Linked DNA regions of Caenorhabditis elegans. The protein of the gene in region 2 interacts with the protein of the main gene of each other region in a pairwise test. Each region holds a gene or a part of one and is shown on either strand. Other genes may lie near its edges. The genes, in order: F57C9.4, C09G1.4 and T04C9.1.

Region 1 (7,888 bases), on a different chromosome or scaffold from region 2:
AAGTTTGCATTAAAATTTTCTCAAAAAATTTTTATATACATTATTTTGCCAGATATGTAAATTAGTTTAAATGTTTTAAATTTGATAATTTTAAATTAATTTCAAGTTTTAAATCCTAAACAACTTTTTTTAAAAAATTTTTGCAAAAATTCGATTTTAACGGCGTCTGTAGGTTTTTTTTGTCAAAAATGTCAGAGAACAGTCTCAATATACTGAAAAATAACTGTAAAAATTTATAAAATTTTTCTAAATTTTTAAAATTATTTTTTTTGTAATTTCGCAAAAAAAAATTCCAAATGGCCGAATATTTCTAAATTTCAAAAATTGTAAAAACACTAAAACTTAGGAAATTTCAAAAACTTTTCGTTTTATTGCACCGTTTTTGGTGATTTTGGGCAAAAAACCAAATAAAATTCCAAAATTTTGATTAGATTAGATAAAAAAGCATGCCTGTAGGAACTAGAGACATTAATAAGGGTGCAAAAACCAAAAAACGAACAAGAAAAAACAAGTGATGGTGCAAATACATTTATTACATATTTTCCAAAAAACAAAAAAAGCAACGCTTCCACTCAAAAAATACCTCGATAGACAATAAAAAAGCGTTAAATTTGAATTCCGTGACTTCGAATGTGAGCTTTAACGTTATCTTTCCGTGCAATCGCTCGTCCACACACCGGGCATTGATATTTCTTTTCACCAGTGTGCACAAGTCCGTGGCGACGCAGTGTTGAGGCATCGGTGAACGATTTCGAACATGTGTCACACTGAAATACGAGAGAGAATTTTGAATTTTTTTTTCACAGGAAGGCGATTCAAAATACAACGGAGTGCGCCTTGGAAGTGGTATTGTAGTAAGAACCTTTTTTTTCAAAAATGTCAACAATGTTGTTTTTTTTTTAAACAACTTAAATTTTATTTTGTAAAAAAAAATTTTAATATTTAATTGTAAAAGAAAAAATTGAAAGGTTTTTTTTTTGAGAAATTCGATTTTTGTTTTTTTTGTCGAATTTTCTTTGTGATAATCATTGTCTGCAAAACTTTGGATCTAACTAAATTGTAGCCTTTTTTAGCCTTTTATTCCAAAATTTTTGAAAAATTTACAAAACTTTAAAAATAACATTTTATCAATAAAAAATTCCCTGATCGATCTATATTTGGGAAGCATATTTTCAAATGTATAACTCACTCTGTATGGTCTTTCACCAGTGTGTGTTCGAATGTGGGTCTTCAAAAAATTCCGACGTCCTCGTTTGCCGCAATGCTCGCATGCAAATACACTGAAATATATTAATTTAAAATTTTAATTTAAAACAAAAAATCTGTATTCTCACCAGAGCTGTCTTTTTTTCCGATTTTTTCCGAAAAATCGAAGAACGGAAAATTTTAGATTTTTTGATAAAAACTAATTTTTTACAAAAACATTTTCGATTGAAAAAAACGAAAAATCAAAAGTTTTTCGTTTTTCGATATTTCCGACATTTTTCCGAATTTTTAAAAATTTGATTAAAACTTTGGTCTTTTTCTTCTTTTAGATGAAATTTTAATGTTTTTTCTCATCAATATAAACTGAATTGGATTTTAAAAATATGGTTAATTTTCTGTACATTTTTTTTCGATTTTTCGAAAAAAAAACATCGAAAATTTTCGTTTTTCAATTTTTTGATTTTCGATTTTCTCTCAAAAACATGAAAAACATCAAAAAACCAAAAAAACGCCAGTTCTAATTCTCACCTATTTGTATGCAATCGATAATGTTGTCCAATATTATGTGGCTGAAACTGATCCGACGGACAAGCTTCGCATTTCTTTTTCTCCTTATCAACATGCTTATTCAGAAAATGTTCTTCCATTTGCTTCTGATTCGATAAATCCATCGATTTTTGTTCTTCTTCTGGACACAGTTGACATATTACGTATTGAACAACTCCAACGACTTTCTGATTTTGATCATTCGGTGAATTTCGTAGTAGAAGAGGGCCTGATTGCTCTTTTCCATTTTCCATTTTTATGTGCATTGTGCTCATTGTAGAGGTTGATGGAAGGTTTGGACCTGCAAATTTTGAATTTTAGAAATTATTTCTCTCAAAAAAGCTTTACCTTTTACAATAACACTGGAAAACTTCTCGAGTTGTTCCATAAAATTTGGCATTTCATTTTTATTTCCTTCTTCCGATGAAACATTACCTAAAAATTAAATATTTTGCAACTACTCAATTTTTGTTTCTTTTATTTTCACTAAATTTCATTCCTTTAAAACCAGAAATAAAATTTTTATTCTCGAGACCGTACAATTAAGAAGAGATGTAAATAAGTGAAGTGAAAAACAAAATAATTTAGAAATTATCAATTAAGTTTCTGTTGCCGGGTTAATATTATTCAACGATGTAGATGCATCACCAGGGCTATAGTCTTCGTAATGTACTTTAGATGCACGGAGATTGCTGAAAATTCCTGAATTAATAAAATTCCTTAATTCGACGAAACTAACAAAGCAATCATTTCTTCCGGAGTCGCATCATCACAGGCAACATTTTCCTTCCTACAGTACTCCCGGAACTTTCGCATTTGTTCCCATTGTAAATGCATTCCGCAGTTCTTCTTTTCACTGCAATTCAACAGAATACCTCTTGTTGGATCGTAATGGTAGCTCCGCAGATTTTTCCTGTTTGAAATTTAAATTAAACACGGAACAATGGTTATTACGGGAATTCCCGGGAACACAAATTTCTGGGAATGCGTATTGCGCAACCTATTTGACGCACACAATATCTAAAACTACAGGAATTCGGTAAATGACTACTGTAGTGAGTGTGGCGAATTACGGGCTCGATTTTTGAAATTTATTTTTGAATAGTGACAGCGATAGTATATTTTCCTTTGTTTATTCGTATTATTTTATCGTTTTTCCTAATTTTAATATTTTATCGAAAAATAAATGATTTCGAAAATTGAGCTCGTAAATCGATACAAGCGTTACAGTAGTCATTTAAAGAACTATTGTAGTTTTCGCTACGACATATTTTGCGCATCAATTATGTTGCGCAATGCGCATTCTCAGGATTTTGTGTTCCCGTAATACGATTCCCTCACATTGCTCTTCCAAGAGCATGATTGAATGTAGTGTTTGCCAATTTTCTTTCGGTACGACGTCTCATAATCTCTTCAAATGGATCGACAGCATCAATTGTTAGAAGAAATCTGAATATAATTAAGAATAAATTTAAAATTACTTGTTTGAATTTCTTACGGGTCCATGGGGTCAATTTCACCGTCGAGTAAGTATTCAGGAAGGTAGAGGCCTACAATATCGGTAGTCATATCTGAAATTCAATTAGTTTCAGAAAATTAATTCGAATTTCTGTAACAAGTACCAAATAACGTGGTAATGACGTTTTGAGGGAATTCCACAAAATGTTTGTCACAAGTTCTGACAGTTGATGGCCGGTATGTGTAGATCCAGATCATATAAACCGGATTTAAAACCTGAAGGATACTTTAAAATTCGAATTGAGCAACTAGGCCGTACGTTTTTGAGCACAGTTTGGTAGAAGTTGGTGAGCTGCATTGTAGCGTCGGCTCCGAAGAGATTAGATGAGTTATAGGCTTCCGTTAGATCGATTGAAGGGAAATAGTCAACAGGCAGAGTCACATATGAACGAGTAAGCCTCTGATGCTTGATCAGTCCAAGCTTGGTCTGATTCGCAAAACTTGCTGAAAGTGAGCTGATTGATGCTTGAACTCCGGCGATTGCTTTTTCTTGTGGATCCAACATTTTCATCTAGAATATTCATATTTGAGATTTTTTCAGCAAAAATTCGAATTACCATAACAGTTTGTCCCATCATAATTGCTTCATTTTCCTCTTTGGTGCATTCTTCCGAATCTTTGTAGAATCGGAAAATTGAGATGTTAGGTCTGTGAGTGGTTTTGCAAAATTCCTATAAAAAATCTTTCTAATTTTTAATTTTCAAAGTTTTAAGCTGTACCTCCAATTGATTTTCAGTTAGAGTTTTGTTTTTTATACCATCAATGACGGCTCTTCCGATGTCTACTATACTCTCCCGACGAACCGCCAACTCCAGCTTGTCTGGAAATTGTACGAATTTTTGAAATTTTCAAAAAAAAACCATTATACCAATATTTGATTGAGTCGAGCTTCGTCCAGAATAATTATATCCGTCGTCACTTTCTTCTAATTTTGGTTGCAATAAGTTGGGAAGTGTGACCATTCCACGAGCATTTCCAATAGAAACCGACTGACTTTTTGGAATTTTTCGTTTCAGTTTTTGATGTGAAGAGGTGCCTGAAAATTTTTGGATTAAAATATTCGTTACGTGGTCCGTGTTCCTACATCAGCGTTTTTAAACAATTCTTTCCGTATCTTCCCTGTTTTTATTTTCGCATCATCGATTTCCTGTCACTAGTCTGAAAATTTGTGGTTTTTTTTTGAAAATTCATTTTCTTGACCGAAAAGTCAATACGAAAATATTTACACAGGGAAAGCACAGAGAGAATTATTAAAAACGGGAAGAATATTAATTTTAAAAATAAAATAGAGAAAAAACCGCGAATCGAAAACCGACGCGAAGATTTCGTCAATGTTCAGACAAAATACTTACCATTTTGAGTATTCCTTCCTGCTGCAGCCATTTGCAATTGAGCTGTGGCTGCTCGAAACATTTGAACATCTGTATCAGTCTCATCTTCTTCATCATCATCCATTCCATCACAATCAGAACCACACGATTCTCCATCATCTCCACATCCACATCTTCGCTTTTTTATATGCGTAGTTTCAGAATCGTCACGACTTCTTTTTCGATTTCCAGATCCTGTGGAACTTGTAATCTGCCGGAGAAGTGCAATTTCTTTTTCTTGAAAGTCACATCGTTGTTTTAGCTGGAAAAGATAGGGTTATTGATTAATTATTTCATTAATTAGTACTTTTCAGATCTGAATTCAGAAGCGAAAATACAATATTTTTGGCGGTTTTGAAGAAATTAAAAGATTTTGTTTTTTTATTCATTGAAAATTAATGTCAGAATATGTTTTTTTTGACCACTTGATTCATCTTAAAATAAATTTATTTTTAACGTAAGCACCGAATAAAGTTCTAAAAAATAAAATATAAAAAACTCGATAATTTTTTAAGAAAAACATGGTGCAACATGCTATTTTGTAGAATTGTAAAAAATTATTCGCGGGCGGCAATTCTACAAAATGGCATGTTTTCCAATATTTTTAAATGAAAATTAGTGTCTAAAATAATAGAAAATCACTTAAATTATCTGAAAATAATTTTTTTTTCAACTGGAACATTGGAAAAATGGGCTGAAAGTTGCCGATTGCTTTTTTTTATTTTCCATATGAATCAAAATATTTTCTATATTTTGACAACACAAACTCACTGTGTTATAATCAACTCTGGCTTGTTGAAGTTGCTTCGTCAACTCTTCCACTTTTGTTTTTTGGCTTTGGTGTTGTACCTGAAATTTTTTTTTTTTCATTAAATCCTGACCATTTAGTTTTACTTTTTCTTTTGCATATAATTGAAGAACATAATCACATCGTTCCTGTGGTGGTGGATGAGAAAGTGGAAGAGTTTTTCCCGAATGTTTTTCTCTGTTAATCGGTTCAATAACCATTTGAAATGGATATTCATTTTCCGAATGTATTGTTTCAATCCGTGGTCCTAAAATCGATGGATCGCTTTTCCGTGCCGTGGAGATTTCTTTCAAAATTTCAATAAAACTGGAACACTCGTCAGAACTGATCGATGTATCTAGCAAAATTGTAGCATCGGAAGGAGACGTTATTCGAATCTGAAAATTAATTATTTTTATTTAAAAATCAATATATCTCCAATTAATCTCACTTTTTCAATACCCTCTTCATTATTGGTAACAGCTGATATGCGTAGAGAACATAGTCGACCGTTGAAAATGGAAAAATCACTCTCGTAGAGCACCCTCGAATCGATTAATGATGTCATTTATCCTGAAAAACGTTGATTTTTTTCAAAATGTGGCGAACTAAATAGAACCCAAAAAGAGAAATTCATTAAAAAAACACAATTCTTAAAAACTTTAGCTGGAATAAGAACAGAATGCCAAAGTGAAATCGATTAGAGTAAAGAGCGAACGGCCACTGAAAAAAGGGAAACAAGTGTATGTCACCGCGCTCCTTTGAGAAAGAAAACGGCGCTATGTTCAAAAAAGAACGCCAACGAAAGAATTCTGAAACGCTGGAAAATACTTGAATAGCTCTAAATATTTCATCACATGCAAGTAATATTTTGTATTTTAACAAATTCCCATCATCATCGGATATGAAAATTAATATTTAAAAAATTCATTCGAAAACTAAGGCATTTGTCCAACTATTAAAAAGGAAATCGAAGAAACAACAAAAAAATGGAACAGATTGATAATTGTACACGATTGTCCAGAAATCGTTCAGTTTCCTCTTCTACTTGGCATGTTCGGCGACTGGCCGTACCTCATTGCCTTTGGAGGGTTTGGTTTGAATTTCTTGGAAGTCGATTGGTTTTGAGTGGAGCTTTCGGTATCTTCCTGTGGATCTACGTCACTTAACGAACCAGCTACATCAAGAATACTCGAAACTCGGCCGTAGTGTCTCTCTGTGGCAATAGCTGGAGCGGCACCTGATGGATCTACGTCAGCGAACGAACCAGCTACATCGAGAATACTCGAAACTCGGCCGTAGTGTCTCTCCGCAGCAATAACTGAAGCTGCTCCTGCTGGTTGCTCCGTGACAACCGTTTGAGCTTCTTCAGACTGATGCTCCGTCACAATGATTGGAACGCTCTCCGATTGATGACCAGTAACATTAATTGGAGCTGCTTCTTCATGCTGCTCGGTGTCAATTGATAAGTCGGCAAGTCCCTCAACAGCAATTTCATTTTGAGCATCTTGAGCATCATTTTGAGCATCGTTCTCCTCAGCCCTTGCTACATCCAATATACTTGGTACACGACCGTAGATGGGACTTTCACGAACGTCTTCCTCCACTGTATCGTCAGTTGGCAGATCAGCGACGTCGAGAATACTCGACACTCGTCCATATTTTCTCTTCCGTGGTCTTTTATCCGGGATACTACCGTTCGCCAAATCTACCTGAGCCTCTTCCGAAACCGGATTTGCAACTGGGTCTGGTTTTTTCCTGTTAATAGAAGTATTTGAAACGCCATATCTTGCTGTTGAGCTCTCCTGCTTCTCAGATGTAGTATTATCTAGATCCGCAGCTTCCTCAGGTATTGCAGACTTTGATTCATTTCTCTTCTCGGGAGAGGTGATAATAGCATCAGAGTCAATTTGAAGAGAATTCTGAGCATCAGAGTCAATTTGAAGAGAATTCTGAGCATCATCATCATTTTGTTCTTCTGGCTGTTCATCGACTTCAACTGGAGGTACAAGCCGACGAGCACTTCTCTGTAAATTATTGAACTTAACATTTTTATTATAACAATAAAAATAATTACCCTTTTTGGGTTCACTATTGGTTCTTCTTCTTTCTGTTCGCATCGTTCATTGTTCTTCGTGGTGCGTTTACTGGAACGTCTCATCTGAGCTTTTGGCGCTTTTTGAGGTTGCTCTTTCACCGGGGACTCCACGGGAGAAGCCGGTTCCGTTGGAGTTATCGGGACAGCGGGAGCTCTCGTTGAACGTTTCTTTGCAGCTTTCACTATTGGAGAACGTTCCCTTTCAACAACCATTGGAACTTCATCATTATCAGCAATCAATACATTATATTCGGACTGCAGAACCATCATTTCACTGGCCATACTTGGATTACAACGAATTGATTCGTTTGCCACATCTTCGTCCATACGTACTTCTTGACGACCTATAAACATTAGAAAATT
Region 2 (4,939 bases):
TCTCGGCTTTTGAAATACTATTTGAAAAATAAAATGGTATGACGTGCATAGATGGTCCTATCAGATTTTTTTTGTGGCGAAATAATTTAACATCTTACTATTAGTTCTGTTAATCGGAACGCATTTATTACAAGTTTTCCGACAAATTGAAAAGTATTTTTTTACCCATTATCTATTACCCGTTGCATAAATTATCAATCTTTAGTTTTGTTCGCTATTTTCAGTATTCTTCTTCTTTCTTTTTCTCCCCATTTTTTCGCGATAGATTTATGTGTTTCCTGATACATCACGTACATCCTGCTGCTTCGGCTCGCACAAAAAGAGAAGTTCGTCGCTTAAGAGTAAGTACATCATTCACTAAGGCATCACAACCATCTGGCGAGATTAAACATGTGTTTAACGAGAGGGGGACGGGATGGAACCCTAACTTTTGACGTGTGTGTGTGTCTACCGCCATTCGGGTGTTAGATTACCAAGCAATAATGCAAATGGGTTTGGCGGTTCAGATACTGATCATAAGTGAGTCACATTTTTGGTATTGCGGTAGTTTTTGAAGTTTAGAATTTTGAAGTTAAATTTTTCATAGTCCTCTTTATAGTCATTACCCTCAATTTAAAATTAAAACCCAATGACAATCACGAAAAAGTTTGCAATACCAGTGGTTTTATTAAACATAAATATTAGGGCTTTCATGCAGGCGACGTCTGCCTCGTGCCGCGAGCCGCGCCTCCTGCTTAGTGCTGCGCGGAACCCGAAAAGTGTCGGCCGCTTCCATGGAGGTCCTAATAGTTATCATCAAAAGCTTTTGGGGTCTCTTCTGAACAATCTCGCCATTTCTATGTTTTCGCCAAAAAATCCTAGTTCTATGTAATGTTTACACTGTATTCAAGTTCGTTTTTTTTCACTTTTCCAGAACATTCCTTGCTTTTCTTCTGTACACCCACTCTTCTATTTTTTTTCTTGTTATCACATTGTTCTGAACGACTGCATTGTGTGTTGTATGACCTTTTCCTTTTCGTGATCAATCCGTCCCTGGGGACAGTTCTATTAGGTCGGTGTGCCCACGAATGGTGTGCATTCTAGAGATAGTAGTGAAGAAAAACTGTTTTTTTTTTGCTTCAAGTTCGAATGCCGAAGTTGGTGTTCAAACATTGAATTGTCAATGGGGACACAAGTTGTTTTTTGTTTTTTTTTAATAGAAAGTTTTAGGTGCATTGTTTGGTTATTTTGGAAGAAAGCTGTATTTTTGAAAGCGTGCTCTTAATCTTTTTTTCCGATGCTCTTTCAATCAGTTTCCTTACTCATCATAGTAAAATCCGATATTTCTAACAATACGAGGGTAGCTATTTTTCACTATTTAAAGATTAAAGGGTCAAAGGACGATCCGTTCTCCAAGTGCTATGCACTGCGGATCTGGGACTCAGGTACACTGCCTGGTGGTGATCCCACTGGGTTGTAATTTAAGCCACGTCCGAGCCGGGGACTGTGGCCGATAATCCAGTCTTGGATTGCTCCACTTCCCAATAGGGGCTGGGTGAACCTAGGAAGTGAGGCCGGACTTGAACTCGTGACCTCCAGATTGCTAGCGGCCACCACTACCGACTGAGCTATTTGCCCCCTTATATATTTAATTACTCTTGATCAAAACACACCTAAAACTTCCAAGACGTCAGTACGTGCACCAGTGCCAGTCACGATTGTGTCCACTTTACATATATATCCAATTAACAGTGTCACTTTTCACATCTTTACGTCCATCTCGCTTTTTTTTCGCCTTCTTTTTTTCCCCTACTTTTCCGCAGCCCCCAAAAATTGAGAACATACCTTAACTAGGCCGATTATATCCCATCAGGTCTTTGATGTTATCATTTGTTTCTTTACCTCTGATATGTTATCTTTTTTTTCAAATTGTTCTCTTATAAACTTACAATTTTCAGAGACACAAATCACAATGTCTTCTGGAAATCGGCAGGCTCCAATGCCCCCACCAAAACCTCGAAATTTGGGGCGTGGCCAGTTTTATCAACAAGGAGGTACGTCATAATTATTTCTCACTTTTTTTTCCAAATTCAAAATTAATTTCTTCTTTTTTGCACCAGTCATTCAGTATTCGCTCGTCATCTACAAATAGAAAAGGGAAAAATTATGAATTTTCAATAGACGTACCTTTTTTTGAATACGTGTCTTTTTCGCAAAAAATGTTTTTTTTCTGTGATTTGTTTCTAATATTTTTTGTAAGAGCAAAGTTATTACCTACCATATGCCTAAAATAAATGTGGAATACTAGATTTCGAACATGGTGCATCGACTGGAAAATGTTTTTGGCGCTTGTTGCTTAAAAAACAGGTTACAAATATTTATTCACGTTTTTTTTGGAACATTTACTATGTAATACATAATTTCTTTTAACCGTTTGAACAATTTTTTTCCTGTTTTTTGCTCTAGTCATTTAGTATTCGTTCATCATGAATTATTTCCGAGCTAAAAGAGGCAAATTATGAATTTTTCAAAAACGTACTTTTTCGAATGCAGTGGTGTAGCCATTTTTGCACAATTATGTTTTTTACATGTTTCTATGAGTTCAGTTCAGCCACAGTTTATGGATACAGATATTCATAATATGAAAGATATTTTAAACACGTAACTACTTCTGGAGTTTTTTTTTTTTTATTTTTGTTTAGAATTGTGAATATGCTCCGAAATCGGTCTTTGCAGAATTTTCAAAGTAACATATTAAAAAATTATGAACATTATATTTTTTTCGGTAAAATGTTTGGTATTTTTTAACGGAATGTTTTAAAAAATTGCAAAATTTTTTCGCTATTTTTCTTTAAAAGTGGAGTAGCGCCAGTGGGAAAGTTGTTAAAAACCACTCCTTTGGTCCCAAAATGACCACATATCATAATGAAACTTATTTATTGTCAAAAAGTGACAATTACTCAGTTTTTGCCAATCATAATTTTGGAAGTCGACCAAAAAAATGTTTCTACATTTTTTATACAGTAATTATTTGGATTAAAACATTGTAGGGCCCGGAACATGTGAAATTGCTTTGGATTTCTTCAAAAGCTCTTATTTTTCAAAATTCTGAAAATTTGCCAAAGTTTAACCGGAAATTATGAAAAGCCTGAAATTTTTTGAATTGTATTATTAAGATATTTGGTCTTTTTAGATCATAATGAGTGTCTACTCCATGTTTAAATAATACCCGTTTTTGCCTATTCCCCAAAACTCCAGTGGCCATTAATAGTCTGCAAGAACTAATTTCGGAAAATTTAGATCTGAAAGTCATTGAAACAAAACAAACTCTATTAAAATTTTAGGAGCGCATTTCCGCTATTTAAAACTTTTCAATCGTCTCTGTGAAATAAATGTTTTCAAATTAGGTAAAACGTTAGGTAAGTCTTGAGTAATTCTTAGTTAGTGTTGAAAACGTTAGTGTAGAAAAAATTTTTTTTGGAGCAATTGAATTTAACTGCTAAATTGTGCGTTTGTATTCCAAAATTTTGAAGCGAATCTAACAGATATTTGATCTCTGGCTTTCAATTGCAAAGTAATTCTCCCTTTTTTGTCGCTCACCACAAAGCGTCAAGTTTTCTCAGTTTCAGTGTAACATGCCATACACACCAAAACGACAAGCTTTTCAAAATAAGAAAAACGGAAAGTGAGCAAGTGACGCGGCGCGCGGTCAGCGTTTTTTTTTGTAACCCATCTCAAATGCCAAGTCTCTGTGTTCGTGGACCTTTTCAAGCGAGACTATGTCTGTGTATGTGTGTGTGCCTTTTTCATTTTTGCTCCCGAAGAGCCCAGTACTACACATTCAGAACTTTTACACTTCTAGCTCGGCACCATGTGCTGATCTTGGTCCAACAAACCCCAACAAAAGTGCGTTCTGCGTTTTGCCCGCAACCCATTCCTGCTTATTGCATTTTGAGGAAGAGCATTCAGACAGCGCCCATGATGCAGAATATTTGCGCGTTTTTTTTGAGTGTGTAAACGGAGAGCCCATTCTGAAAATAATCATTGGTTGCTGAAGAGGGCAAAGAATCGTAGCGCTACCAGTGTTTACTTGAGCTTGATCTTGGAATTTTGATTGGAACCTTTTTGATTTGAAATATAATTTTTGAACAGTATACTGAAAAAGTATGAAGCTCAACTGAAGCATATTGAGCTGAAAAAAGTAAATCTGAAATGTTCAGCACTTTTTTTCTACTTCCGATGTCTTTAAAATTGCTTTAAAAATATACTTACAGTCAACCATTTTAGAAATGCAAAACAATTTTTTCACTGATTTGTTTGATAAAAAAAACCACGTGGGGTCAAAGTGTCCCATGTTGGTTTGATCTTCAAAAAATGCGGGAGAACTTTTCCCCTGATTTCGTATGGCTAACCATGTGTGCTGACGTCACATTTTTCTGAAAAAAAAATTCCCGCCGATTTTGTAGATCAAACTGTATTAGGACAGCCTGACACCATTTGAAAATGATGCAAAAGATTTTCAGATCGGCTTCAAAGAGCTTCAGTTTTTCTTCAGACTTCAGACTTTCAAAGATATAGGCATTCCCAGTGCTCCTCGAGAGCATGCCTCACTTCTCCGTGTGGTCGAACCGAACCACTTCAACCCTTAACAGGCACGAGGGAGTGGACGAAAAAAAAAAAACGAAAGAAAAATGTGCCAAAACTTTTTTTTAGTGAGGGATGGGGTGTTGCACTCTCGTTTTGCCGTCCTCTTTCTTCTCCCCTGCTCTCTACTCTTCGGTAGATGTCATCAATAATTCTGTCCAAACATGCTTTAAACTCATTGTTCTTCCTCTCCTGATCCCCTTGTTGCTGCCGCCACCAAAAAACGTCACGTTCCACTTCTTCTTCCTCTCCTGCTGCTACTTTTTGCAGTTTCTTTTCGCCTATACATTTTCATTTTTTTGTCGGCGGTTACTAC
Region 3 (4,801 bases), on a different chromosome or scaffold from region 2:
GTTTCTGGAAATTGAAGAAATTGTAATTATTTTGAAAAAATCACGATTTTGTATTCTTATAGCGATTTATAATTATCGACTTTCAAAAGTCTTAAAATTAATTTTTTTATCATCGAAAATTTTTGTCCTAATTTTGCAAAATTAATTGTGAATTATCTTTCAAAGTGGTTACTGTAACGCTACAAAACTGTTAAGTCTCTTGTTTTCTTTACTATCATTTTATTTTTTTCTAAATTTAAAACCACATTTCAGTAATTTTTTTAGTGAAATTTTCAAATTTCAGGCCAATTGAAAAATTGAAAATAATTTTTGGAAAAGATTTTCACAATTGAAACTGGTAATTTATTTTTTGAAAATATTAGTTAGATTTTTATAAAAAATAACAAAATCGAACGAAAAATTTTAATTTTTAAAAGAGGCTCTCATTTTGTGAAAACCGAATATTTTATTCATAAAATAATAATTTTCTGGTTGATTTTTTCTAAAATCGAGAACTTTCAGATGCATTTTTTCATTTTGAATTTTTTTAATAAACCAAATTTTGTATATAGAAACTTACTCGGAATTTTGCTCTTTTCCTGCATATACACGTATCCTTGTTTAATTGATGGCGTCGGTCGTCGATCTTCAGAACCCGGCTGTAATTTCAATAAAAATTTGCGATGAATATGAAATTCCAAAGTATGAAAAAACTTACTTTTGTATGAGAAGCCAACAGTTTTTTCTTAAGCTCTTCTGCCTCAGCATTCGTTGCATTATAATTTTCCTTTGTCTGAAATTCGATAAAATTTCGATCTGACGGGGAGAGTTTTTTAAACTAACCTTTTGAACTTTTGTTTGTACATTGTCAAGGAATGGTTTGAAATCTTGATGAATCACACTACCTGAAACAGGAAAAAGTTTTAGAAAAATGCAAAAAAAAATGATGTGTCTGGAAACCAAATTTAAAAATAATAATGCCTTTTTGTGAGTAGTTTGATTTTTTTTTCTTCATTTTCGATGATATTTCGATAATTTATAGAAAAAAAATGAAAAAATATATTTTTGTTTAATTTTTAATTTTTTTTTCATTCTGGTCGAAATTTTACATGAAATCCGAATTTCTGTAAGTGAAATAGAAAAGTTTGTGATTTAAAATAGTTAGTTTTATTTTCAAAATTATAATCGAGACAAAGTTGTCGAAAATCTGATTTTTCAAGTAATTTCTATTTTTTTTTGTGAAAAATATTCAAATTTATAAAATTTGTATAATCATTCAGAAACTTTTTTTTACCTGTACAAATACTTACCAACATGAAAAAATGAAAGCCACGAATAAACATAAGATCCTAATGTTTCGACAAACTCGAACCGCATTCGTTCTTGAACTGATTGAACTTCTGCCACATACTGTAAATTTTTTTTATTTTTTATTTTTGAGAAATTATGTTGAATATACTTTTTAACTGAAAATAGCAATTTATATTGTACTATTTCCAACGGCAAATTCTTAAAAACTTGAATTACACTATTTAGAAAAACTAAAAACGAAAACTTTTGATTTTTTTAAATTCTGAAAAGGCAGAAAGTTTTTTTTTTTTTGAAAGAAATTTTAAATTCGCAATATTTCAGAAAAAAAATTTTTTTTGTTGATTTTTTTTAATTCGAAAAACCAAAATTCCTTCGATTTTCCAAAAAAAAATTTAGAAAGAAATTTTAGTCTAAAAATAGAAAATGGCCAAAATTTCATTAATTCTGAAAATTAAAACACAAATTTTTTCCAATTTTATAATTTGAAGACAACTTTATAAACTCAAACCTGTAACGAAGCTTGAAAAAAGTTTTTCTGTTGAGTCTCCAATTGGGCATCAGCGGCTCGAAAATCGTTATTACGAACAGTACTCAGATGAAGATGTTTTTCAAGTGTTTGATAGAACTTGCTACTTTCTTTGTCATATTTATTCTTTTCCTCTTTCAATGTTCTACCAATCGCCTCAGTTCGAAACTTTTTTATTGGTTCCAAATAACTTTCTTCAGCTTGTCCAACAAGTTTCATTCGTTCATCTTCGACTTGATTGATCAGACTTCCGAATTCTTTTAGACATGTGGCTGAAAATGTGAAATATTATTTCAAAGACAATAAAAATATTTATGAAAATTAAGCATTTTGGTAAATTACAATGAGAATCACTTGCAATTTGGATTTTGTTAACTTTCGATAGATTTTTTGGGAGAAAAAACTGAAACGAATTTTTTTATTGAAGGAAACTTATAAAAATTTCAAAATTTCACGAACAATTCAGATTTCGAAGGTCTTTGTTGGAATATTGAAATTCGAGACAATTAAAAAAATTTTAAAAGAGAGTTCAACACTATTTTTTTATTGTAAAAAATATGACTTTGAAAAATTTGGCAAAAATGAACGGTTGCTACGGCAAAATACTCTTTTTTGCTATTCCTAAAAATGTTTAAAATTTTTTTTTAACTATGGTAAATTAAAAAAAATTGAAATTTAATAATTTTAAAACATTTAAAAACATGTTTTCAGCAAATTTCGATTTTTCTTGGCTGGATAATAAAATTCCGAAATTAATTTTTTTACTGCGAAATTTTTTTAAAATAAAAATGTTTTGTACTTTTTTTTTTAACATCGCGTATTTTTTTATATAAATTTTTGCTAAACAAAAGTCTCACCAATAAACCGTTCATCATCTGTCTGATTTGTTCCGACTGTTTCAAACTTGAATTCACTTAACGTCTTTGCGAATGCTCGTTGTGCTGTTGAAAGCTCTGCAATAAAAATAATTATAAATTCCACGCGATTAAATGGAAAAGTAAAGGGTCAAAAAGAGAGAAAAGCCACATACTTTTTGTGCACGCAATCAGCTCCTTGCACTGATTCTCAATGAGCTTGATGTTCTTGAAAGCGTCGTCCAGTGCCACTTCGTGATCATGCAAATTTTGTCGAAACCACGGAGAATCGGATATCGAGTCCGAAAACTCGAGCGCCCGTAACACCATTTGTGATGAGCGCAGAGTCCTAAGTAGACGGGTTTTGTCTACTGGACAAGGTGTCCTGAAATTATTTTTGATTGGAATGATTTGCAGAGATTTTCAAGAGAAAAAGCCTCAGTGATAGGCAAACATAGAGAAATGAAAAGAAAAAATTGTCTCAAAATACCACAATTTTTTCTGAAACATGAAGGAAAAGATGAGTAGAATGAGGAGAAGAAGTAAACAATTAAAAGAAAAGGAAAGAAGAACTCGCGGGGGATATGGACAAGCGAAGAGAAGAAGAAGAAGAAAAAGAAGCAAGAAACTTGATACTTGAGGCGACGAAGGAATATCTATGAGTATCTATCTATCTGCTACATGAATTCTGACACTACCAATGGAATTAGCTGATGAACCGAGCAAGAATTGATATGGAAAATGAGAAAGGTAATCAGATAAATGAAATATAAAAAGAAAATCCATCACATCATAAATTAGAATAATTATGAAGCTGCCAAAATAAAACTTCCAAGTGTGACCTATTTTACGACAAAACATAGCGTACACCTTCACAACAAATTGTCTAATCGTGCGGGAATCAACGCACATCCGGAGGATTGAAGAGGTTGCAACAATCCTGACGATGACAGATAAGAATCAAACGGCAGTGCGTCCCTCCTACGTGTAATTCTTTCGTTACCTAACGATGCGTGAGCTTCGGTTTTGAGCAAGTTCGGGCACGTCGAAAACACGAAGGCAGCCGAGTGGAAACAATTTTCGAAGAGCCCCTAACCCGGCTCATAAAGAAGAGAAGCTGGAGGAGAGAAGATGCGAGAAAAGTAGTTGTTGCTTGTGCCTCAAAAAGAAAGAAACCGAAGATGACGATGTGGGTTCCAGAAGATGATAAGGATGGGGCTAATAATGATGATTAGGTAAAAAAGAACGGAAGTTTGAGACGAAATAGAGGAAAAGGAGAAGAGAAGTCATGGCTCGGATGAGGACGAAAAAAATGTTGGAGCGACCAACAAAAATAACCAAATTTGTATAGGAGCCGAAACAAAGTTATCGCGTTATTTGTGTTGTGGCCATGCTGTTGTGTGCCATCGCCAAAGAAGGAGAGGCAGAGGAGAAGGACGAGGACTCCAACACAATTCGTCATTTTTTCTAGCTTTTCTCATTTTTTCAAAGAAGAAGGCGACGACGACGACGACAGTGATGGCGTTTATGGATGGAAGGGATGACTCTTGCCGTCTGGAACTTGTCGATCCGATTCGAATCGAAAGGAAAGGCGGACGACGACAGCGGCAACGGGAAGCAGCAATGCGGAAAAGAACAATTCTCCGGGGGGAATGAGTATATATGGGAAGAACGAGCAGTAGAAGAATGAGCGAAGAGAAGGACTGCTTCTTCTTCTTCGTCATTTTCTTTGCTCCGCTCTCGTCATTGCAATGGCACAAATACATACACACACTTGCATCCGTCCTTTCGTCTTTAGAATATATCCTAAAACGAAACACTTGACAATATCAACGCTTTCTAGTTTTTCTCAAAAAATTCGAATCATAGAAACGAACGGATGAGTCGCGGCACGGCGAACGTCAGAATATTCGAGTGGTCGACGGAAAGCGATTATGAAGAGGAAAGAAAAACGACGACAGCGGCGACGGAGGAAGAAGTAGGGGAAGAAGAAGAAGTTGACGACGTCACAAGCGGAAGAGATGGGACCGCGAAAAATTGAAGAGAATGAAAAGCAGAAAAAGATAGAAAAAAGTAGTAACAAAGTTGAAACGAACGAGTCGGTTATTTCATTTTGTAGTGAAAGATCAGG

The links.
Region 1: the proteins of C09G1.4 (region 2) and F57C9.4 interact in a two-hybrid assay, tested with the Caenorhabditis elegans proteins (2 studies listed by BioGRID).
Region 3: the proteins of C09G1.4 (region 2) and T04C9.1 interact in a two-hybrid assay, tested with the Caenorhabditis elegans proteins (2 studies listed by BioGRID).

Annotation. Positions count from the first base shown.
Region 1 is NC_003279.8:4,828,247-4,836,134, reverse strand, and holds F57C9.4 (C2H2-type domain-containing protein), read right to left. Parts: upstream 5,996-7,888; coding exon 5,879-5,995; intron 5,826-5,878; coding exon 5,535-5,825; intron 5,490-5,534; coding exon 5,412-5,489; intron 4,903-5,411; coding exon 4,623-4,902; intron 4,307-4,622; coding exon 4,139-4,306; intron 4,091-4,138; coding exon 3,990-4,090; intron 3,942-3,989; coding exon 3,828-3,941; intron 3,782-3,827; coding exon 3,530-3,781; intron 3,487-3,529; coding exon 3,375-3,486; intron 3,324-3,374; coding exon 3,251-3,323; intron 3,202-3,250; coding exon 3,094-3,201; intron 2,666-3,093; coding exon 2,492-2,665; intron 2,445-2,491; coding exon 2,401-2,444; coding exon of another isoform or gene 2,351-2,400; exon of another isoform or gene 2,188-2,350; coding exon 2,101-2,187; intron 2,054-2,100; coding exon 1,735-2,053; intron 1,281-1,734; coding exon 1,190-1,280; intron 768-1,189; coding exon 606-767; 3' UTR 513-605; downstream 1-512. Other genes in the region: htp-3 (HORMA domain-containing protein), read right to left, coding at 6,459-7,454, 7,505-7,869.
Region 2 is NC_003284.9:15,993,934-15,998,872, reverse strand, and holds the start of C09G1.4 (uncharacterized protein), read left to right. Parts: upstream 1-1,935; 5' UTR 1,936-1,951; coding exon 1,952-2,033; intron 2,034-4,434; exon of another isoform or gene 4,435-4,658; intron 4,659-4,939.
Region 3 is NC_003281.10:5,991,473-5,996,273, reverse strand, and holds the start of T04C9.1 (Rho GTPase-activating protein 26), read right to left. Parts: upstream 3,056-4,801; 5' UTR 3,001-3,055; coding exon 2,847-3,000; intron 2,770-2,846; coding exon 2,674-2,769; intron 2,089-2,673; coding exon 1,799-2,088; intron 1,390-1,798; coding exon 1,290-1,389; intron 885-1,289; coding exon 823-884; intron 773-822; coding exon 698-772; intron 639-697; coding exon 560-638; intron 5-559; coding exon 1-4. Other genes in the region: T04C9.2 (uncharacterized protein), read right to left, coding at 4,044-4,394.